Diceros bicornis minor: one gene and its partners. The protein of the gene in region 1 binds, or shares a complex with, the protein of each later gene. Links are inferred from orthologs where the notes say so. Each region holds a gene or a part of one and is shown in the gene's direction. Other genes may lie near its edges.

Evidence for each region.
Region 2: the proteins of TUBGCP3 (region 1) and MZT1 are in contact, whole or in part, in a cryo-EM structure (PDB 7QJD), measured with the Homo sapiens proteins. The link is inferred for Diceros bicornis minor from reciprocal best matches to the Homo sapiens genes TUBGCP3 and MZT1. Residues at the interface, in NP_006313.1 of Homo sapiens: Lys7, Pro9, Leu12, Leu13, Asn15, Leu16, Cys17, Arg19, Ile20, Leu21, Arg23, Val28, Gln31, Tyr34, Ala35, Val38, Ile39, Asn42, Phe43, Ala44, Pro45, Thr46, Ile58, Leu62, Arg67, Asp70, Phe74, Leu77, Lys80, Leu81; in NP_001065243.1 of Homo sapiens: Asn17, Ala20, Val21, Glu23, Thr24, Val27, Leu28, Glu30, Ile31, Ser32, Arg33, Ile34, Leu35, Asn36, Thr37, Leu39, Asp40, Glu42, Thr43, Ile46, Cys47, Val48, Arg49, Leu50, Cys51, Glu52, Gln53, Gly54, Ile55, Asn56.
Region 3: TUBGCP3 (region 1) and tubulin gamma-2 chain share a complex: the UniProt entries of both Homo sapiens proteins name them as parts of the gamma-tubulin ring complex. The link is inferred for Diceros bicornis minor from reciprocal best matches to the Homo sapiens genes TUBGCP3 and TUBG2.
Region 4: the proteins of TUBGCP3 (region 1) and TUBGCP2 are in contact, whole or in part, in a cryo-EM structure (PDB 8Q62), measured with the Homo sapiens proteins. The link is inferred for Diceros bicornis minor from reciprocal best matches to the Homo sapiens genes TUBGCP3 and TUBGCP2. Residues at the interface, in NP_006313.1 of Homo sapiens: Glu272, Asn273, Cys274, Ser286, Leu287, Asp289, Thr290, Val292, Arg293, Glu296, Trp299, Ser361, Thr363, Leu364, Arg365, Leu368, Val369, Tyr372, Lys375, Ile376, Lys379, Ala382, Ala383, Asp386, His387, Ala402, Tyr403, Lys405, Thr406, Gly407; in NP_006650.1 of Homo sapiens: Gln172, His173, Pro175, Ile176, Phe177, Pro178, Trp180, Arg184, Ala186, Leu187, Ile188, Gly189, Phe191, Leu222, Tyr223, Val226, Val228, Asp229, Gly230, Arg231, Glu278, Ser281, Phe283, Gln287, His290, Ala291, Ala294, Arg297, Val300, Lys301.

The regions. Positions count from the first base shown.
Region 1 is NC_080748.1:86,404,547-86,411,544, reverse strand, and holds the start of TUBGCP3 (gamma-tubulin complex component 3), read left to right. Parts: upstream 1-3,995; 5' UTR 3,996-4,127; coding exon 4,128-4,203; intron 4,204-6,998. UniProt on the Homo sapiens protein: Component of the gamma-tubulin ring complex (gTuRC) which mediates microtubule nucleation.
Region 2 is NC_080748.1:52,856,991-52,864,837, reverse strand, and holds the start of MZT1 (mitotic-spindle organizing protein 1), read left to right. Parts: upstream 1-4,842; 5' UTR 4,843-4,894; coding exon 4,895-4,967; intron 4,968-7,847. UniProt on the Homo sapiens protein: Required for the recruitment and the assembly of the gamma-tubulin ring complex (gTuRC) at the centrosome.
Region 3 is NC_080757.1:41,711,231-41,718,936, forward strand, and holds the start of tubulin gamma-2 chain, read left to right. Parts: upstream 1-4,705; 5' UTR 4,706-4,891; coding exon 4,892-4,940; intron 4,941-5,193; coding exon 5,194-5,306; intron 5,307-5,488; coding exon 5,489-5,656; intron 5,657-5,970; coding exon 5,971-6,039; intron 6,040-6,382; coding exon 6,383-6,462; intron 6,463-6,863; coding exon 6,864-6,990; intron 6,991-7,651; coding exon 7,652-7,706. UniProt on the Homo sapiens protein: Tubulin is the major constituent of microtubules, protein filaments consisting of alpha- and beta-tubulin heterodimers. Gamma-tubulin is a key component of the gamma-tubulin ring complex (gTuRC) which mediates microtubule nucleation.
Region 4 is NC_080745.1:95,367,265-95,374,506, reverse strand, and holds the start of TUBGCP2 (gamma-tubulin complex component 2), read left to right. Parts: upstream 1-4,236; 5' UTR 4,237-4,304; intron 4,305-7,242. Other genes in the region: ZNF511 (zinc finger protein 511), read right to left, coding at 328-406, 1,214-1,342, 2,732-2,856, 3,081-3,282, 3,604-3,677, 4,028-4,180. UniProt on the Homo sapiens protein: Component of the gamma-tubulin ring complex (gTuRC) which mediates microtubule nucleation.

The DNA.
Region 1 (6,998 bases):
TATAGTAAGCACCACTCTGCAAAACAGAAACCACTCTAGCAACTTCAACATGGGGGATTTAATACAGGGAATTATTTACGTGGGTGGTTGAAGCAGCTGGTGAGGACTAGGAGATTAACAAGTGCAGAAAGTGGCTACTTTTCACAGGGCTGAAGAGACAGCAAGAAGACTGATGTTACTGTATCCCACATTCTGAAACCTTCCAATGGGAGTGAGATCCATGATGAGAGTTGTACAGAGGAGGTTGGAACCACGAAAGAGGGGGCTGACTGGTGGAGATGTTGCCAAGAGGGATACTCAGTTACCGTCATAGGCAAAGTGAGAAGCAGAATGCTGTGAGGCGATAACTTTGGTTGTCTCCTCCTGACCTCCAGTTTCTACCAGTGACTCCCATCTGCTGAACCTGCCAGTCGTCCAGGGAGTTCGCATCACAGCCTTCTCTAGGATGTAGGGCAGATCAGGGAAGGGCAGGTAATGGATCTGAGAGCAAATAGGCAAACGATGGGCATGTCCTCCATGGAGCCATGCTTGAACCCCACCAGGCAAAGGTAATTTGTACTAGTTACCTGTTGTGTAACAAATCATCCCCAAACTTGAGGGCTGAGAACAATGAACATTTTATTTGGTAACAATTCTGCAACCTGGGCTGGACTCAGTGCGCGTTCTGCTTGCTTTGCAGTTTCTCTCTTGTGTGGCTGCATTTAGCTGGAGGGTCGGCTGGGGGCTGGGATAATGGAATAGCTGGGCCCCTCTCTCTCATTTCATGGGGTCTCAGGATCTTTCCCTTTCCATGTGGCCTCTCTCCATGATCTTTCCTGTGGGGTAGCTGGACTTTTAACATGGAGGCTCAACGCTCCCAAGAGTGCTAGGAGGAACCTGTCAGGCCTTCCAGAGGCTGAGGCTGGGAACCAGCACAGCGGCTCTCCCACAGCATCCTACTAGCTAAAGCAAGTCAGAGATCTTCCAAGGCAAGGGGAAGGGGATTATAAAAGGTGAGAATTCTGGGAGGCACAGTTTATTGGGGGCAAGAAATGTAGAACACTACCCCATAGCTATTTCCTCTACTATAGCATATGGGACCTGTTTTTAAGAAGTCTAATTTTAGGGGTTAGACTTCTGAAAAGTTTTTATTTTTTGCCAGTTACGTTTCCCCAAGTAGGCCAGGTAGATTCTCCACTTCTCGTCTGTAGTGACATCTCAGGCAGACCCACGGCCTTTTAGTCATATTTGGTTTTGAAAAAAATTCTGTCCAGTGTTGATGCAAATAATCCATAATCAATCTATAAATCAAAATTGGGGTGAGTTTATTACGAGCCAGATCTAAGAACTAGCCTGGGGCCTTCCTTCCCCAAGGAAGGAAGGGCGTCAAAGAAGTGGGGTGTACAGAGAGGTTATATACCGTCAAAGAGCATGTATCACATATGATTGGAATGTCCCTTTTACAGCAGTCACGTGACTGCCTAGCCTACCTACCTGGCACAGCGATTCACATAGCAATTGACGAACACAGCAGGTAGCAGGTCTGTGGTCTCAAGCTGGGTGGTCATGGCAGGTCAGCAATCAATCCCTAGCCTAGAGAGAGAGATACTTATCCTTAAAGAAATGCTGATGTGGGGGAAGTTACTTTATCTTAAGGGTATTGTTCTTGCCTTTGGGCATAGTAAATATTTAAAGCAGATATACAATGCATGCTCAAGGGTCAGTCAGGCCGTTTTGGAAAAACAAGATCAAGCTGAATTCCTTTTACACCAGATGGCTTCCTCATATACTCCAGTATATCCTGCTGCTTGTCATTTATTTATCACCAGGCAAATTCAAGGCGTTTGTGCCAGATCCAATCTACAGCTCATGACTTTTCCTCATTCCTGTGCACCCAGACCTCATCAGCCTAATGTATCTGAAGAAGGGAGGGGACATCAGTTGCCCTTCTATTTTCCTCCACCTCCCATTACTAATTTTAACTCTCTTAATTTGAGTCACAATGGAAGGATTAGGGACAGAGGTTAAAAATCTTTTAATTAACTTGGCACGAGACCGTGGCCTCTGTCAGTAGTCCTCACTTTCTGGTTAACCTTGAGTGGCCGTCAATGCCATCTCTGTGGCAGGTGTCCCAGGCCAACCCTCTTGTGGAGCACATGCATGACTTTTCCTGCGGGTTCCATGCAGGGGGCTCACCTCTGCACGGTTCCGGGCAGGGTAGGTCCTGATGTCCCTAAAATTGTCTCAGGACCTCCAGAACGCCCTCCTTCCCCACGGTCACTGAGCAGCTGTAGATGGACTTTCAGGAATGGGAGTGATGGTTGGAGAATTAGCAACGCCAGCGTGGCTGCGTCCTAACAGACCCCGAGGCAGTGTCTGCCTCCCACTTTCTATGGCTTTCTTTAAAATGTAGTGTCCTCAGTTTTGTATCTAGTTGCCAATTCTTGGACGAGTCCTTCTCTACATCCTGTTACATGCCCACTGTGTATTTTAGTTATTTTATTTCCATCTTTAGATCAGAAGAGCAAAGGCACACGCAGGTAAGTTTCAGTGACAGGAGCTGGTTGTAAGGACACATGAGCACATCGCCCACTGTGCTGGGCCTTGTGTTCTCTAATCGCCTTCCCTCTCTGTGCCGCTTGCTGTCTTTGCACCCTGTGACGTTGCAAGACTGCGGCTGGGGCTCCATGACCTCGAAAGCCTGGGCAAGCACAGCAGGACGGCTGGGAAGGAGGAGAGCTGTGGATGCTGCAGTCTGAAGCTGCGGTTCTGCTCTTGGTGTGAAGTCCTGGCCTCCAGTTGCCTCACTCAGACACTCTTTTGGCCTTTGTCTTGTGACTCTTATGGTTTTCCTATTCCTAGAACTCAAACGATGCAAGGCAGGTGTTAAAATGTGCCATCAGATGAATAGTGTTCCTTTAGGGCCTTGGCCCTTCCTCCGTAGGCTCCCATTAAGGCCCATTTGACAGCCCGAGTGCTAGCAGGGTGGTCTTGTTTGTAAGGCTTGGGTTCTCCTCTGACCCTGTGGAGGGGAGGGGTGGCTTTTTCTCTGCTTACTTGGTTGTTGGAAGTTGCCTGTTTTTCTGTGTTATAGTTCAGGCCACTGGAAAATACAAATTCTTTTGATCTTAATTCCAAATTCCCTGGAAAGAAACTTAGGTTGGTCCAGCGTGAGACAACTACTCGCCCTTGGTCTAATCTACTGACTTGAACAGTATACTCCTGGTTGCCGGGATCCCATAACTCTGACCAGCCGATGTGTGGACTGGCTCATCTGGCCCTGGACTGGGCCATTCTCAGCACCCGGCTTCTCCGCACACTCATGTGACACGTCTATAAGTTCGTGGAGAGTGACTTGTCCTAACTGCCTGTTATTCCTCCTTTTCAGGCCTCTCCCCTCTCTCACTCTTCATCTGACTTGTCTCTCATGACTGTACTGGTCACCTGGGATCAGGTGGGGACGGGCTCTGAGATGGTGAGCAGCCACAACACACTTCTGGAAAGCTGGATGATGTGCAGGTGTCACGCTCGACCAGATGTAAAATCGTAAAATTCTTGTACTCCTTTACACAGTCTTCTTCCACTGAAAGTGTGACAAGAACCGATGACGTTTTTAAAAAAGTAGGGACTATGGATGCGCTGCTGGGCACCAAGCACTCCCACAGCAAGTCAGTGGTCGTCCTGCTCTCGGGGACGTTTGGGGACATTTGAGGGTCTGAGCTGTCCTGACACTCTGGGGACGTCTGGGGGTCTGAGCTGTCCTGACCCTCTGGGGACGTCTGGGGACGTTTAGAGGTCTGAGGCGTCCTGACCCTCTGGGGACGTCTGAGGGTCTGACTACCGGGAGGCGATGAGCAGCGAGGCCCAGCGCGCTCGGTGCCGGAACCTTCCTACCCCGCCGGCGGTGGTCGGGGGGAACCCTTAGGCCGGCGCACCCGCGGCCCCGAGCGCCCGGAAGAAGCGGCGCCTTGTGGGAAGAGCCCGCGGTTTCGGCGGGTTCCGTTAAAATGGCGCCCTGGTCGCCGGCGGTGGCCGCGGGGCCTTAGCCTGTCGGGGACGCGGGAGCCCGGGCGGCGGGGTCTCCGGAGCGCGGCGGGCTCGGGCAGGCGGGCGAGGGCCGGGGGCTCCGCGGGCAGTCCCGGGCGAGGATGGCGACCCCCGACCAGAAGTCGCCCAACGTCCTGCTGCAGAGCCTGTGCTGCCGGATCCTGGGCCGGAGCGAAGGTAGCGGCGGGGCCGGCTCGGGGCCGGCTCGGGTCTCGCAGGCCGCTCCCCGCGCGTGCGGCTCGGCGGCGTCCCCGGGGCGAGAGCGTCCCCGGGGCGGCGAGGGGCGCGGCGGTCGCGGAGCTGCGGCCCCGGGCGAGGGCGGAGGGCAGGGCCCGGCCGGCTGAGTCACCGCTCCCCGCGCCGGGGCCGGAGTGGCGCCCGCGAGGACGGCTCGCGGACGCGCCCCTTGTCTGAGTCCCCGCACGGCGGGCGCTTGCGCGCTCACCGGGGTGGGGAGAGCGGCGGCCTGGCCGGTCACGCGTCTGTGGCCGCGCGCAGGGGGCGCCGGCGGGGCCGAGCCGCGTCAGGGGCCCTGGCCCTTAGCGGAGGTGGCAGCTTTGAGGCGGAGCGAAGGGGGTGCCGACGGCTGTCACCTGCCGTATTTTTCTGTAAGGGGCTGAGGGTTGAATTTGATATGGAACTGTTTTTGGGGAGTTTACGTAGGGAACACTGCTCCCAAACCCAGTCCTGCACGGTGTGGAAAGCCATTCTGTGGTCGTGGTGCTTGTGAAAATGGCACAGTGTGTCGTTTTGGTGGGAGGGAGGGAGTAGTGGGGATGCAGCGCGAAGGAATAATGGAGGCAACTGGGTTACTTATTCCTGAAGCACCGTAACGTGGAGAAGAAACTGTTCAGTTGTTGTGGGAAGACCTTAAACAAAATTACATCTAAAGTATTGGGACTACACTTTGGCCTTCAGGATTCATGGCAATTAGCTGACATCAGTTGTTTGATGTTCTATGATAACCTTAGGGGCAAAAAGTGAAGTTTTCTGTCAGTCTATTCAGTGCCACTGCCTTCACGCAGTTCTTGCTGCGTTTCATAAAGTTTCAGTGTCACTTTACTCATCTAAGACATTTTTGCTCCCACCCCAGCGCACTCCAGGTACCGTGTTAGGTGCTGGTGATGCAGAGCTATGCCGACAGGTCGTTCCTCCCGTAGATCTTAGATTCTAGTGGAGGAGACGTGATAAAATAGGTAAACGTATAATGTTCATTAGTGATCAGTGCTGTGATGAAAAATAAAGTAAAGGGATGTCGAGGGAAGAGGTGAGGGAAAGCCTCCGAGGACATGAATGGAGTGAGGGAGGGCCCTGTGAGCATCTGGGGAGAGCTCCGGGTGGAGGGTGCAAAGGTCTTGGGGTGGGTGCGAGCTTGGTCTGCTGTCTTCTGCGTTTGTCTCCAGCTCTTCTCTATGTGTCTCTCTGCACTGGGAGTTACATTCTGATTTGATGTTCCGAGTCATGGGAGAAACCCAAGAGCTAAGGTTGTTGGTTATGACTCGCTCACTTTAATGTCAGTGTTTTCATTAGACCGGTGGGTCCGCGGTTTTCCTCCAGGGATAAACCACATACGTTCCCATTGTCACAGCTGGACTTGGAAGGCCATTCATTGTGAGGTACCATGATGTTTCTCAGTTGAAACAAATTTTATATTTGCAGCTCCTTTCGATTGACTTAGTTTCACTGCTTCCAGGAGGTTGAAATGTCTCTTCAGCAAAGTTCTGCACCCTCCTGGCTCTCCATTTGGAATTGTGTCTAAATTAAGAGTGGGCAGGCTCTCTGTGAGATCCTGAGGGGATCCTCTCGGAGTAAAATATATTATAAAATCCATTAACGACAATGCTCTCTTTGTTCTGGACAGCTAGGATTGCCAAACAGTTATTATATTCATAATTCCAAATTATGCTACTATTTACAAAAGAATTTACAACTATTTAATAGCTTGCCTTGTTTTAATTTGTTCCACCTTAGTGGGCAAAGGAGCAATATAAATTGCTGCCTTTACAGTGTTTGACATTTGAAAAATTTTTTTTTTCATTAGTGGGTATTTTATCTGATAACTAAGTAGAACCTTTGGTTAATTACTTCATTTTTTAATGACATGTTACAAACAGTTGCTGTTATGCTTTTGTAATATATTGCTTTTCTAATACTATGAAATTGAGGCATAATAGACACGTTACTTTTAATGTGAATTTCATATGAATCAATTTTTCATAAAGAACCTTTTAAAAAAAATTTTACGGTTGGCTTCAAGGGACCTTCGAAGCAAAGCACCTAATGGTAGTGGTGCTTGACATTTTTCTAAAGTTAGTATAACCATTATTCCACCTTTTCCATCTTATAACACCTGTGAATTTGCTTGAACCACAACTGTCCACCAGTGGCAGGAGAATTCTCTCTCCATGTCTCTGCCTCTCTCCTGGAGCACATTTTGCTTATTATATCTTTGGATAGTCATTATTTGTCTTTGGAAATGATGTGCGTGATCTTATAGTGTTTTAACTCTTGTCAGAGGCAGCGTTCCTTTTCATACCTTGTAACCCTCTTTTTAATTATGAGATAAAGAAGAAATAAGGGAGTTTTTATTAGTAAATATTTCAACACAAATGCTTAGGTGTGACTAAGTACACTACATACTAAAGTAAGGTGATTGCCCTAATCTGTAACACCACCGTGAGTGCACTGTGAGCCATGTGTAGACAGATAAAGAAGTGTTGTGTGCTGATTCTTGGGCCACACATGGTGTTGCTGTTGGTTTCATGATTTTCCGAAATGGTGAAGAGCTCTTGATGAAGTTTTGAATAAAGTATGGTCTTCCCTGGATTATATGCTTGGGAAAATCAATGTATATTAAGTATACATTAAAAATTATATTAAATGTATGTTAAACTGTTCACCAAATGTCTATTAATATGTATATTGAAATTTCAGAGTTTTAGGCTTCATTTGAAAGTTGTACTTAATGTGTT
Region 2 (7,847 bases), about 34 Mb from region 1:
AAATAGGGAACTCGGATTAGGCAGGAAGAGACATCGGAAGCAAGTGCTTGTTTCTAAAAATGATTCAACATGTTTTAAGAGTATACTCACTACCCTTGGTAGAAGCCATAACCATTCACTGTATTACATTAGTAAATTACATTAAAATTAGGGTCTTTTCCCACTCTTTTCCCCTCTCCTATATTATAAATATATCAATTGAAATACACCAAGATTCTTTTCATAAGCCTACCCAGACAATACATCATTTATTAACAACTATACAAATGTTGTGTCACAACTTTGCTTAATTGTATTGTTGACTCTAGAGGGCAGGAATAACATTCTATCCTTCTTCAGTGTTCCTCACAGTGCCTCATAGTGCTCAACAAATATCTCTTGACTGATAGATAATAGTTGCCCAGAGTTGAATATACTGAAGAGAAGAGGCAAAATAAAGCACACAGTTTGTGTGAGATAAAAAATTAGTCTCATTTGTGACTCATTTGCTTTTAGATATTATTTTTCACCTTCTTTTTCAAAGGTATTATTTAGATTTAAGTTAAAATCTTTTTATGCTCTATCTCCATTCTATTCCCTTTCTACAACACTTTGGAGGAACATTAACTAATTATGAGGGAATGGTCATCAGGTTACCAAGCCAAGAGAGGAAGGGATAGAAGAGCCAGACAAATATTTGCAAGAGCATTTCAACATGTGCGCATCTTTGCGTGATTGAATTCTAAAGTTAAAGGGAAAAGGATTATCTATTATTTTGAACTGACAACATATGTACCTTAGGACTGAAAATTAAAAGCTGGTCATGCCAGTATGTGATATTTTTTCAAATATAAAAAAATCAGACTATAAAACTGACATCAACAAAAGAGTCCCTCGAACTATTAATGAATACTGCTATCAGTAATTTGTAATTACAGAATACTGCAATTTGTAATCAAAAACTAGGTCTGTTCCACCAAAGAAGTGCATGGTCTCACTACATTAGGCATCAGTAAGCAGCACAAGTCTGAGGCACATTAGTAGTCGGAAACCTACACGACACATTAACAAAGAAGTTAAGGCTGCTCTGATTACTAGGTGAATTCAAGACAATGTAATTCAGATCCCCAAGTGTCCCACATCAAAGTTGGATGATGTCTAGAAAAGCTCTCTCTGTTGTTAATGGATACCCTTCCATTCAATGTGTCTTAATTTGGTAAGGGGATTTTTGGCTTCCCTAAACATAGATGACAATGAAATAGCATTTTGCTTTACCCTACACCACCAAAAAAGAAAACAAAACAAAAATTCAATGGCAGAAGCCTCAATTAGGTAGAAACGTACAAATTTCAAAATGCCCTCCCTCTACCAATGCTGGGGAGGGAGAGTTGTCCCATAAGCAGCAGAGGAAGGTTATCTCTAAAAGAAAACAACTCCTACCCAGATTTGGAACTGTCAGTGAGGAAATCTTTCTGGATACAGTTCTTCAGTTACATAGGATAAATCTGTATCATTATTTTTCTTCCCTGATATCTTTACATATAAAAATATTCACTCTGGAATTTCCTCTCTCTCTTCACTTGAGAGTGGGTTATTACACTTACGTGCAAGAAAGGAAAACTTACCGAGAATGACTTAAGTATAAAGCTTGACGATGAATGTCTTCTGGGTCTATTTCTACAGGATTTATTACAGCTAGTTGATCAATAGACCATCTAAATTTCCCTGGAGTCTTAAGGAAAAAAAGTGAGCTTATGAGTAAAAGCAAACTAACATAGTTCATTAAAATGCTAACCAACATCAGCTTCAAAAATAATGTAAATGGTTACAATATAAAAATATCTTACAGATCATATTTTAAAATTTGACTTCACCACTAAATTAAAAGGCAAATGGTAATCAAATCACACTGAATCAACTGACTTGACTGTATCTCTTTAAAAATATCCAACTCTTCCCTCTGGGTGATTTTTTACATAGTAATAGAAAAATTACAGTAGAGCATTAAAGGTATAGAAATTCCACAATTAACACTCATCAGTGATGTAACATGCCCAAGTAAGAATCTCCTAGAGTTATCAAAAGTCTTTACTTTCACTAAAAATGAACTGAAATTAAACAAAGTTCTAACTACAAAAGTGCCAGCAAAAGCTCTTAAATAGTTGATCCTTGAAATAATTACGAATGGCAACTAGCACTGCCCTTTCGCATTCAATTATCCAACTAAACCAAAAACTTATTCAAATGCTAATCTGTAATTCAGAATATATTTTTGACAAATTCAGGCTTAAAAACCCCAGAGGCCAATCATTCTGGCCTTGAGGATTAAGTTGCCGTCCTTCAATTATTTTTATTAAGACTGATTAAAATTTATATGATTCAATTAAAAATCATAAGGTGAGATTAATGACTAAACAGAAACTGTGTAACTGTAAAACTTTCCTCTAGTGCATACCTGCTCAAGCTGATGTGAAAGTGTAGCATAAAGAGCCACCCAGTTTGTAGATAATTTACTAGGTTAAAAGATCAGACTTCCAAAGAACTTCTCCAATGTAGCCCATAACAGTAAGAATAAGCTCAAGTGATGAAGGCTTCCCTAATCCCCTCAAGAGCACCTTCCCTTCCATGTCACTCTTATGCTTAACCATTGCTTAACCATGGCACCTATCATATTCTGTGGTCACTAGTTTAGTTGTGTCTATCCCATTAGAGTAGAGACTGGCTTCTTTTCACACACTCTGCAAGCTAAGAATGGTTAACAAAATCCCAAAAGAATATTAGCATTTCATGACATGTGAAAATTACATGAGATTCAAACTTCAGTGTCCACAAAAAACAGCTTTCTTGGAGCACAGCCACGTTTATTTTGTCTATGGCTGCTTTTGTGATACAAGGCAGAGGTGAGTATTTGTACATCAACGAGATGACTCGCAAAGCCTAAAATATTTACTGTCTGGCCCTTGACAGAAAAAGTTTGCTGACTCCTGCATTAGAGTATAAGTTTCTTGAGAGTTTGTGTCTAATGACCTGGACTGTTCAAGGTATAACCTCTATGCCTAGCACTGTATTTGACACACAGCAGCATTCAAATGTTTGCTGAGTAAATGAGAATAGATAATTAGATGACATGGCTTATTTTCTAATATGGTATTTGTAGACATATCATCAACCATAGTATCCAGGTACATCCACAGTTGCAGGAAACTAACATATTATCTATTAAATTAAAAAAAAAAGAGAGAAATGCTAACTAAAAAAAATCTTCTAGCTAACTTATTTTTAGCCCAACCACTACACTATAAAGAACAATTTAAAAAGCACATTCCAGATATATATGTTCCATGATAAATTTCCCCTCTACCTTGTAAAGAAAGATATTACATTTAAAATTATTTTTAAACACTAGTCAAGCATAACTTACTGGTAATTTTGTTGATTTAAAAACAGAAGGACTGGAGAGAGTTTGTTCATGGAGATTAGAATAATCACCAGGACTTTCGAAAGGGTTTAAAACAGGGATCCTTCCTGGAGTTTCCGGTGTTATTTGCATTTTTGATTCTTTGACATCTCCCATAGCACAGACAAAAAACTAAAAGGAAATCAGAAGTATGTATAATAGAACTACAAAGTTCCATAGACATTCATTTTGACAATTAAAATATATTCAACAAACATATATTTCACAAAAGCATGAACTCAAAACCTAACTTCTTGGGCTTTTTTATAATTTACAAAAAGCATCACATACATTTTCTCAAGAGATCCTCTAGATAACCTTGAAAGCTAGAAAGGAAATGTATTAGTGATACCATTTTGCAGAAGAATTAACGAGCTCAGAGAAGTGGCTTTTAAGCAACAGTTGACCAAGCATGACTGAGTTCACGTCCGCCTTCGAGGCAACTAAATGCTACTACAAGCACAAATCCTTTTCCAACTAAAGGACTTATACCTATAGTGTTTTTATTCATTATCTCAAGTCTCTAAACACTTGAACATCATTCAGACAACCCAGCAATTCCCTATCAAACTGCAGTTACTAAACAACAAGTATTTGTAGCAAGCAAATGAGAGACAAGAAAGCTTGTGCACGGGTGCCTTACTTGCACATCAGCCCGGGTCAGAGAAGTACGATTGACTGAGGCTAGGAAATTAACCCCCTTTAGTTGCCTCGCCTCAGACAGCCTCCTTTCGCTAAGACCCCCAGGATTGAAGGCAAGACTGCTTTACTTTCAGTCAACAGGGCGCTACAACTAGAGAAAAAAAATCCACTTCTTGGAACGCTGAAGTGCAGCTGGCTTCGGGAAGAAGAGCAGAGGAGGACACTCATGCCGGTGTCACCCCCAACCCTACGCGATCACTCTTTCTTGGCACCCCTTTCTTCCGCACCTACTCCCTCGCTGCTCCCATTCACCCCGGGGCGAGCGGGCAGGCAGGTCGGAGCCGGGAAACGTGAAGCGCTCCAATTCGAGACAGCAAGAAAGGCCAAGAACTACAAAGAACGTACCTAGTGGTGTGTATAAAAAGGAAGCCCCCCAAAGCGACTCCAGGGCGCTCCCGAGGGGCCAGACCAGCTCCCACGACAGGCAGACTCTTTAACTCCCCGCTTCCGCGCTGTCTTAGGCCAACCAGGGCACGGGGCTTGTGGGCGACTGGCCAATCGCATCGCACCGCTGTCCGCGAACCAGCCAATCGCATTGAGGCCGCGTAGCAAATTCGAATGGCAACTCCTCGCTTCACATTCCGCGCAGAGTAACGAGGCTCCAAATTCAAATCAACGCAGCCTCACGCCGGCGACGAGCGCGAGGGGCGGAGCCTGCCCGGCGTGAGCGGGGGACGCGCGGTGTGATTGCCCAGGAGAAAGGAAGGCGCTCCAGTTCCGGGTCAGGCCCTTCTCCCACCTCCCTCGGCCTCCGCCATGGCGAGTAGTGGCGGCGCCGGGGCAGCGACGGCGGCGGCGAATCTGAACGCGGTCAGGGAGACCATGGACGGTGAGTGCCCGTTTCGCCCCCTTTACCTCGCTTCCGTTTCCCAGAGCCAAGGCCCCCAGGCGGGGGTGAGCCCAGCAGGACTTTAGGTCCAGTTCCTGCCCCCAACGGCATCTTTGAAGAGCTTCCCAGGCGATCCGCCGGGGCCGCAGGGCTGGTGTCTCCATCTTTGGAGAGTTGTCTCTTCGCTCCTGCGTAGTTTGTCGCGTGCACGGCGTTGGGCCTCCACGTCAGCCCGGCGCGTGCCCCGTCCGTCCCACGCCGGACCCCCGCGCGCCGCCCGCGCCCCCTCCCCGCGCGCCACGCCCCTCTCCCGCGCCGGGTCCTCGCGTCCTTCCCTCGCTGCCCAGCCCCGCGCGCCGCGCCCACCCCACCCGTCTCCTGCCGCGCCAGAGCCTGCGCGGCGCGCCCAGTGAGTCCCTTCCTCTTAGTCGCGAGCGGGGCGCGCCGTGGAAGGCCTCCAGACTGTCAGCCTGTGCGCACCGTGGCCGTGTCTCTTCGGTCACCGCTACATTCTTTGTCCTTTGCATTTTAGTAGGCGCTTTTTAAGCATTCGGTGAATGAACGAGTCGCCCCTTCATCAGAATCGCCCCACTTTCGTCATGGAGCGGGTGACGCCGGTGTCCGGGGCCGGTAGTGTATTTCTCTGTCTTCGCGCCCCGAGGCGTGCGGCTTAAAGCCGACACACAGGTGGTAGAAGACGAACTGAGCGTCTTGGAGTTACCCTCTCTCTAAGCTCTAATGCGGGCTCTGCCACTTTGTACCTCTAGTGGTGAACTTGGACAAACTGCTTAAACATCTTTAAGTCTGCTGCGTGTGTGTGTGTGTGTAGAATGACGTTACTGCCTCCTAGGGTTATCGTGAGTGTTTAAATAAGATAACTAGGTAAAGGCATATTGAACGTGATCATTAAAAGATAGTTACTGTATTATTTTTGTGTTAAAATGGCATCCCGCTTACAGACTCCTTTGTCTCTGTTTTATTCGCATCTATGTATATATGTGTTTGATGGATGTTAGACATTGCTTTTTGCATTTTCCAGGGGATACCCACATCACCCTCTATCTCTGTTAAAACATAACCCCATGGAATTCTCGCTAAGCAGTATTGGCCTACATATCCTACCTCTGTCTCCTTCACTGTAGGCTCCACTGCCTAATATAACCCTTCTTTATAGAGATTTCTGATAAGGCTTCTGGCTTTTTCTGCACTGGCTGCTGCTTTCCTTTTCACAGAATTACTTATATTATTAGAGCCTTTGCATCTAATTTTTTACTTACCAAGTATCTTCCTTGCAGTTTTTCTGAAAAATAGAATTTTGTTCTTAACATCATATTCAGCCTATTTCCCATCCTTCTTGATGTATCAAAACTTATTAATTTTGTTTTGTAAGTGGATTTTTCTTTTATTTTAATTTTATTTTTTTCCCCCAAAGCCTCAGTAGATAGTTGTATGTCATAGCTGCACATCCTTCTAGTTGCTGTATGTGGGACGCGGCCTCAGCATGGCCAGAGAAGCGGTGCGTTGATGTGCACCCGATCCCGGGGCCGCCAGTAGCAGAGCGCGCGCACTTAACCGCTCAGCCACAGGCCAGCCCTGTAAGTGGATTTATGTACAGAGAAGCTATATGTATACAGCATTATTGTCTACGGCCACAGGATCCTATTTGAATAGAAAACTCAGCGTTTTATCTCTGTTGGAACTACTGATGTAGAAATGAGAACTGATAGTTTGTATTGGTTCCATCATCAAGATTTTTACTGAGAGAACTGTGTGTAAAATAAAGATTTTAGAGAGTGTAAGAACATGAAAAAGTGAAGAAATGCCAGATATTTTTAAAAAAGCAAAAATTGGAGGAGAGAATGTGTGGATTAGAGAACACTGTTCCTCTGCATGCAGTTTGGCCACACACCAGAAGGTAAAAAGAAAGCCCCAAGTAGGCAGCGGATCAGCCTTTGTTGTTGTTTTTTTTTTTTTTTTTTTGTGAGGAAGATCATCCCTGAGCTAACATCCATGCTAATCCTCCTCTTTTTTCTTTCTTTTTTTTGCTGAGGAAGACCAGCTCTGAGCTAACATCTATTGCCAATCCTCCTCCTTTTTTTTTCCCCCAAAGCCCAGTAGGTAGTTGTATGTTATAGTTGCACATTCTTCTAGTATGTGGATGCGGCCTCAGCATGGCTGGAGAAGTGGTGCGTCGGTGCACGCCCGGGATCTGAACCCCGGGCCGCCAGTAGTGGAGCGCGCGCACTTAACCGCTAAGCCATGGGCCCGGCCCTCAGCCTTGTTAAATGTGGCTGCCAAATACTGTTGTGTCCATTAGAACTGTAAACTTACAGAAAATCCCTGCTATCATGCCATAATCGGGTCCAAGACAGTCACGTAAAATGTGAAGTGAAATTATTGCTAAGTTAATGACTATTTTTCATACTGTCAATAATGATTCAGGCACAAAGGGAAACAGTGACACTTGCACTGTAAATAATTGACCATACACTCAACTGAAAAAGGCCTAAATGCAGTCTTTTATAATCCCACCTTCCTCCACCCTCATTCCCAGAAATAAAACTTTAGCTTGCCCAAGGGGCTGGGCTGACCTACTCAAACACAATTATTTTTGAAATTCTGTTAATGAGGGGTTTCACTATCCATGAGAGCCTAACTGAAGTGTTCAAAGCTTGTTGAGTCTGACTCCCCTCCTTCAAGATCTAGTCTATTTCTCCTCATCCTCTTACCACCTCTCTCCTGTCAGTATTAGAGTCAGCTAACAGTGATTTAATCTTTTAATGGGTGTCAGTGATTTGCAAGGATTGTAGAACTCAGCTACAAATATTTGTAATTTTATTGTGAATTGAAAGGATTTTGATAAAGACAGGGGAGGAAGCA
Region 3 (7,706 bases), on another chromosome or scaffold:
ACCTCCTCCAAAAAGTCTTCCCCAGTCCCCAGGCCTCTCCCTGCCCCCACCCTCAAGTTAAGACCTCAACTCTGCTCTCTGTGCCAATCCTGCTGTGTGTTTTTCTCCTCTACAAGACCATGAGCACTTGGCTCTGTTACTTCTTCTTCCCCAGCTCATGTTAGCACGCCCTGCATAGTACAGGTGCATAATAAAAGAATGAAAGCAGGAGCAAATAATCCACAAACGGGATTATGTTAGGCTTATTTCCTTTTTCCTATTCCTTGAGAACACAATACAGAACAAAATAGCCTGTTTTGTCATAACCAAAATATGAATTTAGCATAACTCCCTTCACATAAAGAGCTCCAGCTCTTTGCCTTTATTGTTTTAATTTTTCCTTGGCTTCATTTTGAACGTTGAACTCCCTAGGGTCACAGGAGTCCAGTCTCAAGACCTTAAGTCTTTCTTCCTCCCAGTCCCGGAGAGACACCATCATTTCCCCACCTCACACCTCTGCCTCCGTACCTCCCAAGATACCTATGCTCCTGGCATACTACAGGCCAGGTGTCCAGAAAAGGCCAGAAATGAAGAGGCATACAAAAAAAGTCTTATTCAACCTAGAATGTCCAATAAAGGCTTTGGACATTTAACAAACTTGTTAGTTTACAAATGCTACATTTATCATCAGAGGCAGACCAAGGCCTCAGACAAAGGAATGCCACATCCCACTATGTTACCATAACCTGGATCAGAGAACATAGAGCCACGCAGATTAAACTCAATACTCAATAATCAAGCCATGGGTAATGACCTTGAGACTCTGGATCTGAAACCCAAGAGAAGGACCATGAACCTGGGCCTTCTGCTCAACCTCAATAGAAGTTTGATCTGAAACCAAATCTGTAGGGTGATCACAAATAATTAGGTTTTAATTTTTTCAAACTTATTTAAAGCAACCACTCATTTTGCTTTTACCTTGAATAAGATCTTTCATCTGTAGCAACAGCCAAGCTGTACTTCAGTTCCGATTGCATCTAGTGATAATAACAGCAGCTAACATTTGCTGAATGTTTTCTGTGAGTCAGGCACTATGCTAGGTGCTCATGCATCATCTCATTTAACCAATAGAGACCAGTCAGTTCTCAGCAGAAGTGGAAAGCATAGCCTGACAACAACCGGGAGGATTTATGTTCAGCTCTGCTAATGTACATGAGCATCTGAGTTTCCAACCGGTTTCTACAGACTAGGAGGAGCCTCCAGCTTGTCAGAGAGGCTTCTGAGGGAAAACTTCCATGGCAACTTCTCCAACTTAGACAAATTCACACGTTCTAACCTGTTTGCATATAAACTGGGATTCAAAGGAAGTTTTCCCACTTCTGGGAGACTAGGAGGAGCAAGGCACTGTTATTAATCGTAAGAAAAGGTTGACATTAAACTCTCACGTTTTACAAGTGTTCATAAACTGCTTACAGCTTATTATTTTAAAGGAAGTCAATAGCCGTTCCAGACTCACAAGGACGGGAGGCCAGGCAAGTTGACTCGCATCTTGGAAGCCTTCCTCCTCACCTGGGCAGACCCGGAGAGGGCCTGGCAAAGTCTCTGAAGACACTCAGCTCTTAAGGAGCAGTTCTGTCGGGGGAGGGACCCGAGAGGAGCTCCGACCTCACCCTCAAACTTCAAAGGGAGCAGCCAGACCCCCCCTTGAAAGGGCGAGGCTCCTTGTCCTCCTGGGGGATGCTCGGATCTTCCGACAGCCCGGCCGGAGCGGAAGGAAACGGGCCTCCCGGCCGGGGTGGAATAAGGAGAGGGAAACTGAGCCGAGGCCGGGGAGGCAGCGGGCGTGGGGCGAGCCAGATCCTTCTAAAGAAGTCCAGAGGGTTCCTGGCGGCCGGCGCTGGAAGGCGGCCGAGTTCTCTTAAAAAAGAGAGAGAGAGAGAGAAAAGAAAACAAAAAACCTCGTCTGAGCATGACTCTTGGCGGTGTGCTTTCGTCAGCGCCTCTGCAGCGGCTCCCAGAGAAAGCCTGCCAGACCAGACAGGGACAGGCAGACGGCCCAACAGAGCGGAAGAGCGGCCAGAAGCCGGCCCACTTGGGAGCGGGGGCTTGGAATGTTCCCGGGGTGGGGGACACTGCAGCGTGTCTTCATTAATTGGTTCGGAGACAATTGGCCATCCATATGGAAAAGATAAAGCAGATCCCTATCTTACAGCAGGCCTCCGAATAAGTTCCAGATGAAGTCAAGTCCTACAGGCAAGAAGCAAAACTGCTACGGGACTTTTGGAAGAAAACATTGAAGGACAGCTTTATGATGCTAGGAGAAGGGAAGGTTTCTTTAACAAGGTATAAAACGTGCAGAATAGAAAGGAAAAGATGGATAACTTTGTCTACATTAAAATTAAAACCTTCTCTATGCCAAAAGACACCATATGCGAAGCATAAAGACAAGCCATAGACCAAGAGACAATATTTGCAACCATACAACCAAGAAAAAATTCATAGAATATCTTAAAATATCTACAAGAAACAGCTCAATAGAAAAATGGGGGCCGGCCTCGTAATGTAGTGGTTAAGTGCCCCCGCTGGGCTGCTGGTGGCCCAGGTTGGGATCCTGGGCACGCACTGACGCACCGGTTGTCAGGCCATGCTGTGGCTGCCTCCCACATAAAGTGAAGGAAGATACGCATGGATGTGAGCTCAGGGCCAGTCTTCCTCAGCAAAAAGAGGAGGATTGGCATGAATGTTAGCTCAGGGCTGATCTTCCTCTCTCTCTCACACACACACACACACACACACACACACAAATGGGCAAAGGAGCTGAACAGGCAATTTGGAAAGGTCAGTAACAAAAGAAAATAAAATCAACTTCACTTGTACCATAACTGGAAATTACAACCACAAGATCCCATTGGACTCGCATCCATGGGACTGACAAAAATTAAGATCTGATAATCCAAGTGCGGATTAGGGTGTAGGGAAATGAAAACTCTATTGCTGGTAAGAGTGTAAATTGGTACAATCATCTAGAAGAAAATATTTGAAACCCTGTAAAGTTGAAGCTGCTCATGCCCTTGGTAGTGATGTTTTCTTCGTGTTCACAAGTGGACAAGTCTTATACTCGTTTGATGTAATAGGAAATAAGTGGAAACAATCTAATCTCCCTTGCATGGAAATAGAATAAACTGGTTTCATCCATTCAATGAAATACTATAAAGCAGTTGAAAGGAATGGAATAAATCTACATGCATCAACATGGCTAAATCACAAAAATCTAATGTAGGGTGAAAAAAGCAGGTTGCAAAAGGATATTACACTCTGATACCATCTATATAAAATTTCAAAACAAACAATATATAGTAAAAATACAAAATTATGCTTATATGCTTAAAACATTTTGTAATTTAAAATAAAACAGAAACCACAATGAGATACTACTTCACACTCATTAAGATGGCTATTATTAAAACAACAACAACAACCACCCAGAAAGTAATAAGTGTTGACAAGCATATGGAGAAATTGGAACCCTTGTGCATTGCTGTTAGAAATGTAAAATGGTGCAGCTGCTGTGGAAAATGATACAACAATTCCTCAAAAAATTAAACATAGAATTACCATATGATCTAGCAATTCTACTTCTGGGTATATACCCAGAAGAATTTAAAGCAGGGACTCAAACAGATCTTTGTACATAGATGTTCATAGCAGCATTATTCACAATAGCCAACTGGTGGAAGCAACCTCATGGTCCATCAATAGACGAATAAGGGTAAACAAAATGTGGTATATACATACAAGGGAATATTATACAGCCTTAAAAAGGAATGAAATTCTGACACATGCTACAACATGGAGTAACCTTGAGGACTTTATGCTAAGTGAAATAAGCCAGACACAAAAGGACAAATAATGTATACTGTATGATTCCACAGTATATGGAAGGCACCTAGAGTAGTCAGATTCATGGAAACAAAGTAGAATGGTGATGGGGGGCAGTTACTGTTTAATAGGTACAGAGTTTCAGTTTGGGAAAATGACAAAGTTCTGGAGATGAATGGTGGTAACGGTGGCAGAACAATGCATATGTACCTAATGCCACAGAACTGTACACTTAAAAATGGTTAAAATGGGGCCCAGCCTGATGGCATAGCGGTGGCATAGCTGTTAAGTTTGCACATTCTGCTTGGTCGGCCGGGGTTCCCCGCTTGGGATCCTGGGCACGGACCTACTCACCACTCATCAAGCCATGCTGTGGCTGCGTCCTACAGAGAAGAACTGGAAGGACCTACAACTAGGTTATACAACTATGTGCTAAGGCTTTGGGGAGAAAAAAGAAAAAGAGGAAGATTGGCAACAGATGTTAGCTCAGGGCCACTCTTACTTAAAAAAAAAAGTTAAGCATCCTTTATTAAAAAAAATGGTTAAAATGGTAAATTTTGTTAGATATATTTAATTTAAAAATAGAAATTTAAAAGAAGAAAATTGGCTCCAGCAGAGCCAGCGGAGTAGCTCACCTATATATATAGCGCCACTGACTCCATACACCTGGGCCTCTCTCCCCCCCCACCCCCGCTCCCCTCCCCTCCCCCACACCCGGGTCGCTACTCTGCAACCCCGGCAAGTCTCACCGCGCAGGCGCGGAGCTGGGGTGGGCGGGCAGGAGGGGGCGTGGCCTTCCTCTGCGCCTGTGCCGAATTCCAGCTGCAACTGCTGTGGGGGAAATGATGCCCAGGTTGGGCTCCGCGGCCCCCCGGTCGCGGGGAGGCCCGCACTGCACACGCGCAGACCGAGCACCCGCGTCAAAAGGCGAAGAGCGCGCGCTCTCCCCACGTCTTGCGCACCCGGCTGCTAGGCGTTCGTCTGGGCCGTGACTCCCGCCGGGCCAGGCTGGCGCGCCCACGTCTGGAGAGCGATGCCCCGGGAGATCATCACCCTGCAGCTGGGCCAGTGCGGCAACCAGAGTGAGCAAGCGAGCGGCGGGCCCCTCCAGTCTCCGGTTCTGCCTCTTCGGGTCCCACCCAAGTGCTTGGCATCCTCCAGTCCCCCTTTCCCTTCCATGAACCCCCTGCCGTAACTGCGCATGATGAATGAGCCCCAGACTGAGAGCCGCGCCTCCAGCCCTGGGCTGTGACGGCTCGCAGACCAGGCGTCTTGGGTGCAGCCTCTGAGTGTGACAGCCTAACCCTGACTCAGGCATCTCTTCCCATCCCCCAGTTGGGTTCGAGTTCTGGAAACAACTGTGCGCCGAGCATGGTATCAGCCCCGAGGGCATCGTGGAGGAGTTTGCCACCGAGGGCACTGACCGCAAGGACGTCTTTTTCTACCAGGTGCCCCCAGCGACTTGGCCAGGGGTCCTAAAGGGAAGGCAGCGGCCTGGTGCTGGGAAACCTGCTGGGCAGAGAAGCCAGGGCGGCTGGCTTGAGGAGGGAGGGCAGGCAGGAGCCAGAGCTGGGAGGACGGGGGCCTTGGCCTTAGCTGATTGGGCCCCCTCCTGGACTCCCCATGACAGGCAGACGATGAGCACTACATCCCCAGGGCCGTGCTGCTGGACCTGGAGCCCCGGGTGATCCACTCCATCCTCAACTCCCCCTATGCCAAGCTCTACAACCCAGAGAACATCTACCTGTCAGAGCATGGAGGAGGGGCTGGCAACAACTGGGCCAGCGGATTCTCCCAGGTATCCAGATGGCCATCTCAGAGACCCTTGATGTTCCCTCCCCTGGACAAGGCAGGCTCAAGCAGCCTGGGGATTTGACCAGACCAGACTGACAATAAATAAGAGACAAAGGGATACCCTAACAAGAGGGATAGCCAGGGAGTTTATGCAAACTTTGTGCAAATCATTTACAAAGTAGCATTTCTGGTTTGAGGGCTCCTGCTGAGGCTCTGCTTGAGGACAGCAGCAGTGCCCCAGGGTAGCGTTCTTGGTGCTAAAAAGAGATGCTCTCCAGAGACTTCATCCTGACCCTCCCTCCCCATGTCTCTATACAGGGTGAGAAAATCCATGAAGACATTTTTGACATCATAGACCGAGAAGCAGATGGAAGTGACAGCCTAGAGGTGAGGTTCTGCCCACTGAAGAAAAAAAAAAGGCTGAAAAGTGCTGGGGAAGGTCAGGTAGTAGGCTGAATGGGTGGTGTGATGGGGGCAATTCGATTCCAAACTCATTTATTGAGCATCAGATGTGAGATATCGGGGTAAATAAGGTACAGTTGTCATCAAGGAGATCCTAGTCTGGATGGCATCAGCTCCTTAGGCATGAGCCTTCCTTCCCAAGGAGCCTCAGCCTGGATGGATACACAGGAAGCCTTGAAACATGAGTGTGTTGGGAGTGGGAAGGAGACAAGCCTGAAGCATCTTCCCCAGATCCCTGGAGACTGCCTCTCTGTCCCTCTCTATGCAGGGCTTCGTGCTGTGTCACTCCATTGCTGGGGGGACAGGTTCTGGCCTGGGCTCCTACCTCCTCGAACGACTGAATGATAGGTAAGCCTGTGTTTGGGGAGAAGGCATTAGCCCTAGTTCTCTAGGTAATGTTTTTCCTTTTGGTTACTTTTTTCTCTTGGATTGGAAGGTCTGCCACTACCCCTTTGAGTCATAGGTAGGATCAGAGCCTGGCTACCCAGGGAACATCTTGGAAGCAATAACTCTGGGGAGAGAGGTTTGCCTAGGGAAGGAGGAGACCTACAGAGTGAATCTTTAGGCTTATCCTTTTTGGCTCCTGGGCTCTGAAGACTCAGTTCTGCCCTCACCCCTTTTGCATAAGAGCTTGGTGGCACTTGGAAAGGAATGGCCCCTGTAGACCCTAGAGAAGGCAGAGATGGGCAGTGATGGGGGGCCTTCCAATTCACTGTGCCACCTTCCCTTTCGCTCTTCCTCACCCCCAGGTACCCCAAGAAGCTGGTGCAGACGTACTCAGTGTTTCCCAACCAGGATGAGATGAGCGACGTGGTGGTCCAGCCCTACAACTCGCTGCTCACACTCAAGAGGCTGACCCAGAACGCAGACTGTGTGGTGAGCATAGGAGGAGGGAGTGGGGGGCTTTTCCCCAAACCAGTGAGACACATACACCCTGCCCTTCCCAAGCCCCTGCCCAGAGAACAAAGGACCAACAAAGCCATACCTGATGGCCCAAGTTATGAAATAAGGACCTGACCCCAAGTTACTTACAGTCTGTTTAGGCAGGTGGACTCGCAACAAAGTGAATACTCTCCCCCGCCAAGTGCTCCTACTCTGCCTATTTAATGCCTACTCATGCTTAAATTCTCAGCCCAAGAGTCACTTTCTTAGCAAAACTTTCCTTTCCACCCAATCAAGGTCAAATTCCTTTGTGCATATTTCAGGCAGTAACTATACTTTTCTTTTATTTTATATTTAATGTCAGTCTCCCTCCACTAGACTGTAGACCTGGTGAGGGGGAAGACCATGCCTGTTTTACAATCCAGGGTATCTCCAGAGCCAAGCACAATGCGTGGCACATGGGGACACTCAAATATTTGTTTACTGTACTGGATGGTAGAAAAGTGTCTCGTGATGCCCCAGACACAGTACTTTCCTTTTAAATTAACAAACGCACTTCTTGGTTTTGGAGTTTAGAGGGGAACTAAGCTAATAACTTATTTCTCTGCCCCCTTTCTCCTCAAAAAGGTGCCGTGACCCTCTTCTGTCCCCCCAGGTGGTGCTGGACAACACAGCCCTGAACCGGATCGCCACAGACCGCCTGCACATCC
Region 4 (7,242 bases), on another chromosome or scaffold:
ACATTTACTTTTTGTGTTTAAAAAGGACATTCTCAGGATGGCCCTGCAGAGGGAGGTGGGCCAGTCTCCACGTCTCACTCATTGGAGCACCTGTTGGGCTCATTTCTGGAACCTGTGGGACTCTCACTGCTTCTGATGATGGCTACTGACATCATTCCATCATTAGCCCAGGGACCCAGACATTGAGGGTGGCAAAGGCCTGGGTCCTAGGGGCCACACCAGCAGGCGAAAGAAAAGCCCACCACTGACACCATGTCCTGCAAAAGGCAAGGGTCCTGCCTCAGGGTCTGCCCGCAGGCCTGTGATTCTTTCTCTCCATCTCAGTTGTCACTGGTGTTTATTTCTTTTCTTGGTGCTTTTAAATCCTCGTGATGCACCTTGACCAAAACAGATGATAGGAGGTATTCTGAAATGGAAAACAATCTTCACACTAAACTGTTACACCTTTCACCAACAAATGACCCAATTCATAACCGGTCTCGGGTGTGTTCCTCTCGTTCCAGGACACTCCCTCTCACCCTGGGGAGCACTCAGGACGTCGGCTCTCCCTTCGTGCAGCCCTGGGCAACTCCCTGACTGCAGCTGGCCAGCCTGCCTCAGACCCACCTCCTATGGGAGACCCTCCCAGCCACCAACACACGCTTGCTGCTGAGAACTTGGCCAGGAAGGCTGCCTCCTGCCAAACTCTCCAGGGCTCCAACTTCCTGTACCCCCCATCGGGTGAAACCTAACCACCCACTGGCACCCGGGACTCACTCGCAGGCCAAAGTCCGGGCAGCTGCTCAAAGGCAACTGAGGGACATGAGTCTATTTTCTTGTCAACTTGGATTTGTTGGCGATTTTTTTCCATTTTTCCCAAAATCGGATTTCAAATCAACTTTAACCCAATAAAAGCACAGTTCATGCTAGAAAGACAGACTCACAGGTTGTAACTTATGCAATTACAACCAAGGTTCTTTCTATCCCAGTTTAGGCCACGATGACAAGGGGGGGTGCTCTGCGTCTCTGTGCTGCAAGGGTACCAAACACAGAGTGCACGAGAGAAACTAAGTTACTCGGAGACAGGAGAGTCACGCTTTAATTCCTGCTGAAGCGCACACTCCGACCCGGCGCCAGCTTCTCTCAGTAATGGTGCCGGCCCAGGCTCAACCCCGCGATTCTCCCCGTAAGACACAAGTGCAGAACCTGCTCCAGAAAGAGACCAGGTACTGACCTGTGGCCACACGTGCGCCTCTCACTCGCGGGTTCTGAGCAGCCTTCCATGGCGTCCCCTTCTGACTGCTCCCAGTCAGCCCCCAGGGCTTCTGCCGACACTTGCACGGTGACCTGGGGTGTGGCTAGGCTGTGGAGGACAGTGGGGTGAGCGTCTACTCCTGCAGCCCCAGTTTTCCCCTAGAAATGAACTCGTGAGGGAGATGTTATTTTTTCTGGCAAAGATATTTTAAAACAATGATGGCATAGTGCAGTTTCCAGGCTACCAGGACAAAAAGAAGAATTACAGAAGGTCATAAGTGAATGTTTATATGATAAATACCACATTTTATAAATTTAGGTATAACAATTACACTGTCTTTCTTTTTTTTGTCTTTGCTGAGGAAGATTGGCCCTGAGCTAACATCTGTGCCAATCTTTCCTCGATCCTGTATGTGGGTCGCCACCACAGCATGGCTGATGAGTGGTGTAGGTCCACAGCTGGGATCCGAAACTGTGAACTCAGGCCGTTGAAGTGGAGTGCACGGAACTTAACCACTACACCACGGGGCCGGCCCCTATACTTTGTCTTTTGAAAATAGTATTTTTACGGTGCCACGTGGTAAATGCCTACCAAGGGTGCCTAGTGTCTTTTCCAGACAATCAGTGAGAAATTTACTAAAGTTGACTGTACGATATTGAGAGTCTCCTCCCTAACACCAATGTTTCCATCCACCATTGCAGGGTTTTCTTCTTAAAATGATCCCTTGGAAAGGAAGGAGTTACCGTATACTCAAGGCCTTACAAAAATCTCCCACGTCGCAGTGGGTTCTCAGAATTATTTTACTTTAAACAGCAAAGTTCTGTTAGAGGAAAACAAATTAGTCTGAGTAGACTTCATTCAATGCAACTTTCAGATGGTTATGAAAGTTTACCTGAAAGAATCAGTTACAGGAACAGGCAAAGAAACGTAACACAGATTTAAGAACTATCCCCACAGGCATTTCCCCACAGTGCACTCTGCACAGTGACGTGTAACAAACCGCTTTGTTGTCAAGTTCGTAAATGTGCACTGATGGGACAAAGGAAACACGAGAAGGCCCATGTCAGGGGAGGGCTCAGGGCCTGGGACAAATCCCAAGGCCCACAGCTGCTCCACGCAAGCAGAGCTGATGCACAGGACGGAGGAGAGGTGCAGCCTCGTGAGGTGGGAGTGCAGAGCAACGTGGTGGTGTTCCTACACGCCCTGGCAGACACTCGAGGGTCCCCCAGTCACCCCAGCACAGAGCCCGGGAGGCCCGGTGCTCCCCTTCCTGTCCTCTAGCAGGGGACCCCACACAAAACCACCCCCACTTGTCTACCTCTTTTGGTGACTCTCGACTTCTCAGGGTTTCCGTCACCTGCAGCTAAATAAGAGGTTAAGCGATACAGATGCTGGACTACATCATCTTCATCCTTAAAGTCTACACACTCAAAACCTTGTCTAAATTCAAGAGGTGGCCGCATCCTGCAGCGTGGACACGTGTGTCGCCTCACGTACCTTCTGGTTTTCCTTGGTTTATCAAACCGAAAGTCCACAGGGTAGAGGTGACGGTTCACCAGGTGATCCTTCCTGTCTTTGCTGGTCTTGAACTTCTCTGTGCAGCCTTCCACCAAGCACTGATACTGAAGCAGAAACGGCGTCACCTCCATCCTGACCCCCCCCAGCCCTCCCCTCACACCTCCATGGGCACAGGGCCGGGGCCAAGGGCGGGGAAGGTGCCCCCTGGCCTTGCCCCTGGCCCTGAGAGCTGGGAGCAGTGCTCTGAACCCCTCGGCCCTGGTACCCGCTGGGCAGACAGCTCAGAAACAAACCCCCTCAGCAACTGCACTTGGCCTTAGTCACCCACCATGTCCTGCCTCTCGGACAGGATCTGGAACAACGAGTCATGCCACTCCAGGATGTGGACATCCAGCAGGTGTCCAGAGGGGAAAGCCCGTTTGCAAAAGGAGCAGACGTTTCTGTGCAGAGTGTGGTAGTGGTGCTCATAGTCCTCCAGGGCGTCGAACACCTGGCAGCAGCCCGCCACCTGACAGGTGAACTCGGGCACCCTGGCAAAAGAAACGGCCTCATGGGGACACCATTCCGCTGCTGACAAAAAACATCAAACTCCCTGTCGACAACTTCATTTTAAGTGACGCGATAGAGTTTTGAGTGTTTCTTTTACAACCCCAAATCCTACCCTGTTAAGAACTATATTTTCACACCAGCTAGGCGGTGGGGAGGCCAGCCTCTCCGGCGCGTACCGTGCAGGCAGGGGGCGCGGCGGCAGGTCCTCCCCACCTCCACCCCAGGGGTGGTCGGGAAGGGGAGGATGGGAGCCACGGGAAGGAGGCAGGGTGGGGTTGGGGGGCGAGAAGGGCCTCTCTCACCTGGGCTTCTCGGGCTCCCCGGCAACCTGCGTGAGCACGTCCTGGAGATAAAGGTGCCGCTGGACGTCCCCTTCCTGTAGAACACGCGCCGTGGGCTGAACCGGCACCTCGCAGCCCCGCCCAGCCGCAGCCCCGCCCCTCAGCCAGAGGCCCCGCTCCACCAGGCCCCACCCCCCACCCAGGCCCCGCCCCTCACCCGGAGGCGCCGCTCCACCAGGCTCCGCCCACGACCAAGGCCTCGCCCCTCAGCCAGAAGCCCCACTCCACCAAGCCCAGCCCCTGAGCCTCAGGGCCCGCCCCACGACCCAGGCCTCGCCCCTCAGCCGGAGGCTCCGCTCCACCAGACTCCGCCCACGGCCCAGGCCCCACCCCCGAGCCTCAGGCCCCGCCGCCGGACAACGGCCCTCGGCGTCGGCTCACGCACCTCGAAGAACTCATGCTCGCGCGGGAAGCGCACCAGGCGCGCCATGAAGCGGAAAGGCGCGGCCCCGGCCTTGGGGTTCCGCTCCACGGGCAGCGGCTCGGCCGCCCCAGGTGCCCCGGCGAGGCGGGCGTGCAGCGCGGGGGGCAGCTGCATCGCCGTGCGCGGCGGCGGCGCCACACTCTGTCAGCCACCGTCTGTGGGCCGGCCGGGGCGGGGCCGGACGTGACGTCGCGCCACTTCCGCCGCGGGCGCGGGCTGTGCGCGCGCGGGTCCTGCGGTGAGTCGGAGCCGGGGTCGGGGGGCCTGAGCCCGGGGGACTAGGGGTGGCGGGGTCCGAGTCTGGAGGGTAGGGGCCGGGGGGTGGCATGAGCCCTCTGCCCACCGGACGCCCGGCCGGCGCGGGGAGAGCTGGCCTCCGCGCTGTGGCGCCGCCGGCTCGGATCCGGAGCGGGTCTCTGTTCGCCGTCCGCCCCTGTGCGCGGCTGGCGCCCTCCCCCCGTCCCCGGTGCCGTCCCCCGTCCGCACCCCTTCTCTCCCGGCTGACGGGCTGCGGCCGCCTCTGGGCCAGGTCTCTGTGGAGACCTGAGTTGTCTCGTAACCCTTCGGTGGCTTCCCACTGCCCCGGTCCAGGGCCCGCCAGGCCCTGCTGTTTCCCGCCTGCCCATTGTCCCCCATCCCACCCCATCCTCTCCCGGCGCGGACAGGGCGCGGCGTGTAGAAGTAAGGTGGTCCCGCCGCTCCGGAGCCTGCAGCCCGGCAGGAGAGGCGGACGTCTAACTCGTGACACAGTTACCGAGTTAAATGGTGACGGGTGACGCGGAAGGGACGCAAGGATGCTTGAGCCCTATTGCGGAGGACGGCCGCAGGCCCGCTCGCCACTCCTCACGCCGAGTGGTTCCCGAGTGGTTCCGCACCGAGCAGACGCCGGGCGCGCATACGTGCAGTGGCAAGGGAAATGGGTTGCTGTTTCTCTAAGAAGTTAAAAATGTAACTTAAAAATATAATTAGAAACTTGCACTCACTTCATTTTGGAAGTAAAGGTTTGTGGCTACGTCCTCCACCGGTCATTTGCGTGCCTAAGAAGAGCTCTAGACAGACGCAGACTGTTTTTCATCTCTTATGCATTGATTTTCTGTCTCTGAGACAGCATTAGGCTCCTGACATTTTTCACACGTTTTAAAGTAATGTTCTTCAAGCCAGTTTGTCCAATTAGCTTTGAGCTCTTCAACAAAGAGTGCTTGTCACCTCCCTTTGTGTTTCAGTCAGATGTTCACAGGTGTGTGTGCCTGACTCGTGCATAGGTGTCGCTGCCTCCTTGCCCCTGCGCTGCCTCACACTCGTGTGAGGAGGAGATGGGTTCTGCTCAGTCGCCGAAGTCTGCGTCTGTCCACTTGTGGTGACTAACACAAGTCAAGAGCATCAAAAAGATCACGTGAGCCGCTGCAATTAAATGTTCCTCACAGCTGTTTTTAGGGGGTACGCTGTTGGCATTTTTGGTGGGACGTGTCTGTTGCTGTTTAACTTCCCTGGGCTCCTGCCCACTAAATACCAAGAGCACCCTTCCAGTCACTGTGACAACCAAAAGTTACCCCTATGCGTTTCCAGAGGTCCCCTGAGGGGAGGTGCTCCCTGCAGGGCAGAGCCAGAAATCTTGCAGGAATTGTTCCCCAAATCCACAGAGAACAGTGGACTCCTCCGAGGATTAATACTTGTGATGTGGGGTATCTGTGGTTTTATTTCTACTACAGTTGTGAAGATTCATGAAGATAGTTTTTAAGTAAATATTCACTTAGGTGATCTCTCTTCAGAAGAGCTCTCTCCGCCTGCTTGTATCTGGTGGAGGGGTGTTTTGTGTCCATGGTAAACGCAGCAGCATCCTTGCCAAGGTGGTCCTCAGGCCAGCCCTTACAGGACAACCCGCAGTCCTTAGGAAGCCTTTTGGAATGTGGGTCAATCTGGTTGCTCTTAGGTATGAAGAGGCTGGCAGTGGGAGAGTTCGTGTTTTCTTTTCTGTTTTCTGTGGTTTGTAGGGCCTCATTCAGGGCCCTGGGTGACTAGTAGGATAACCGATGGTTTCCGATGCTCTCAGTGATTCAGATCCAGTTTTCCTTTTGTAAAACCAACCATTTGTCAGGCAACAATGAACACTTGCAGTGGTTGGCTTTACGTGGTAATAGCAGCAGCACTTGTTCCTGCTTTTCTTTTGTGTGTGTGTGTGTGTGGAGGACCAGCCCTGAGCTAACATCTGCCAATTCTCCTTTTTTTTTTTGCTGAGGAAGACCGGCCCTGGGCTAACATCCGTGCCCACGTTCCTCTACTATATATGGGACACCACCACAGCATGGCTTAACAAGCGGTGCGTCGGTGCACGCCTGGGATTGAACCGGCAAATCCCGGGCCGCCGCAGCGGGGCGCGTGCACTTAACCGCTTGCGCCACCGGGCCGGCCCCCCCTGCTTTTCTAATAACACTAGTGCAAGAACTCAGTACACGCAGGCCCTGTGGTGCTTTATAAGACGATCAGTCTCCACAGCAGCTCTGTGGCTGGCGTTTACTACTCACCCCTTTCAGAGGAAGCTTTGAGAGGGCAAGCTCCTTGCCCAGGGCCCTCTGGCCTGGAAGTGGCCAAGTCAGGGTTCAGTCTGTCTGGGGTTCCACAGCCTGTGCCCTGCTGTGCCTGCGCCTGTAACTGTAGTTACTAGGAACACCTCCTGATTCACAAAGGACGTGCGCTAGTGACTTAATACACCAGCTGGTCCTTACTGCTGTGCTTTCCTCTTTGGAGACACCCTGCATCTGGCCAGTATTTGCTGTTTGTATACTGTGACACTGTGATGTTTACGTATGGAGAACTAGTTCTCCATCACACGAGGTTAGACTCTCACTTTCTCAGTGTAGAATTACAAATTAATGTGCATTGTTAGCATGTTGTGAGGGTGTGTGCTGAGTCTTCTCCACTTGATGTTTTCTTTAACTCATGGCTCATCTTCACTGAGCTGTTGGCACAGTGGTTCTTAACCTTTTTTTGGGTCACAGAGCCTTTGAGCGTGTGTTGAAAGACCCTCTCTTCAGAAAATTCACAGACAAAAATGATTTTACTTATGATTTCCAAGAGTTCTTTTGTTGTTTGTGGACCCTAGATCAAGAACCCTTGCGTAGGTATATTGAGATGTTTACGTGAAGTGTGCTGGTGTTCGTTTTTTGAAGGTATGACTG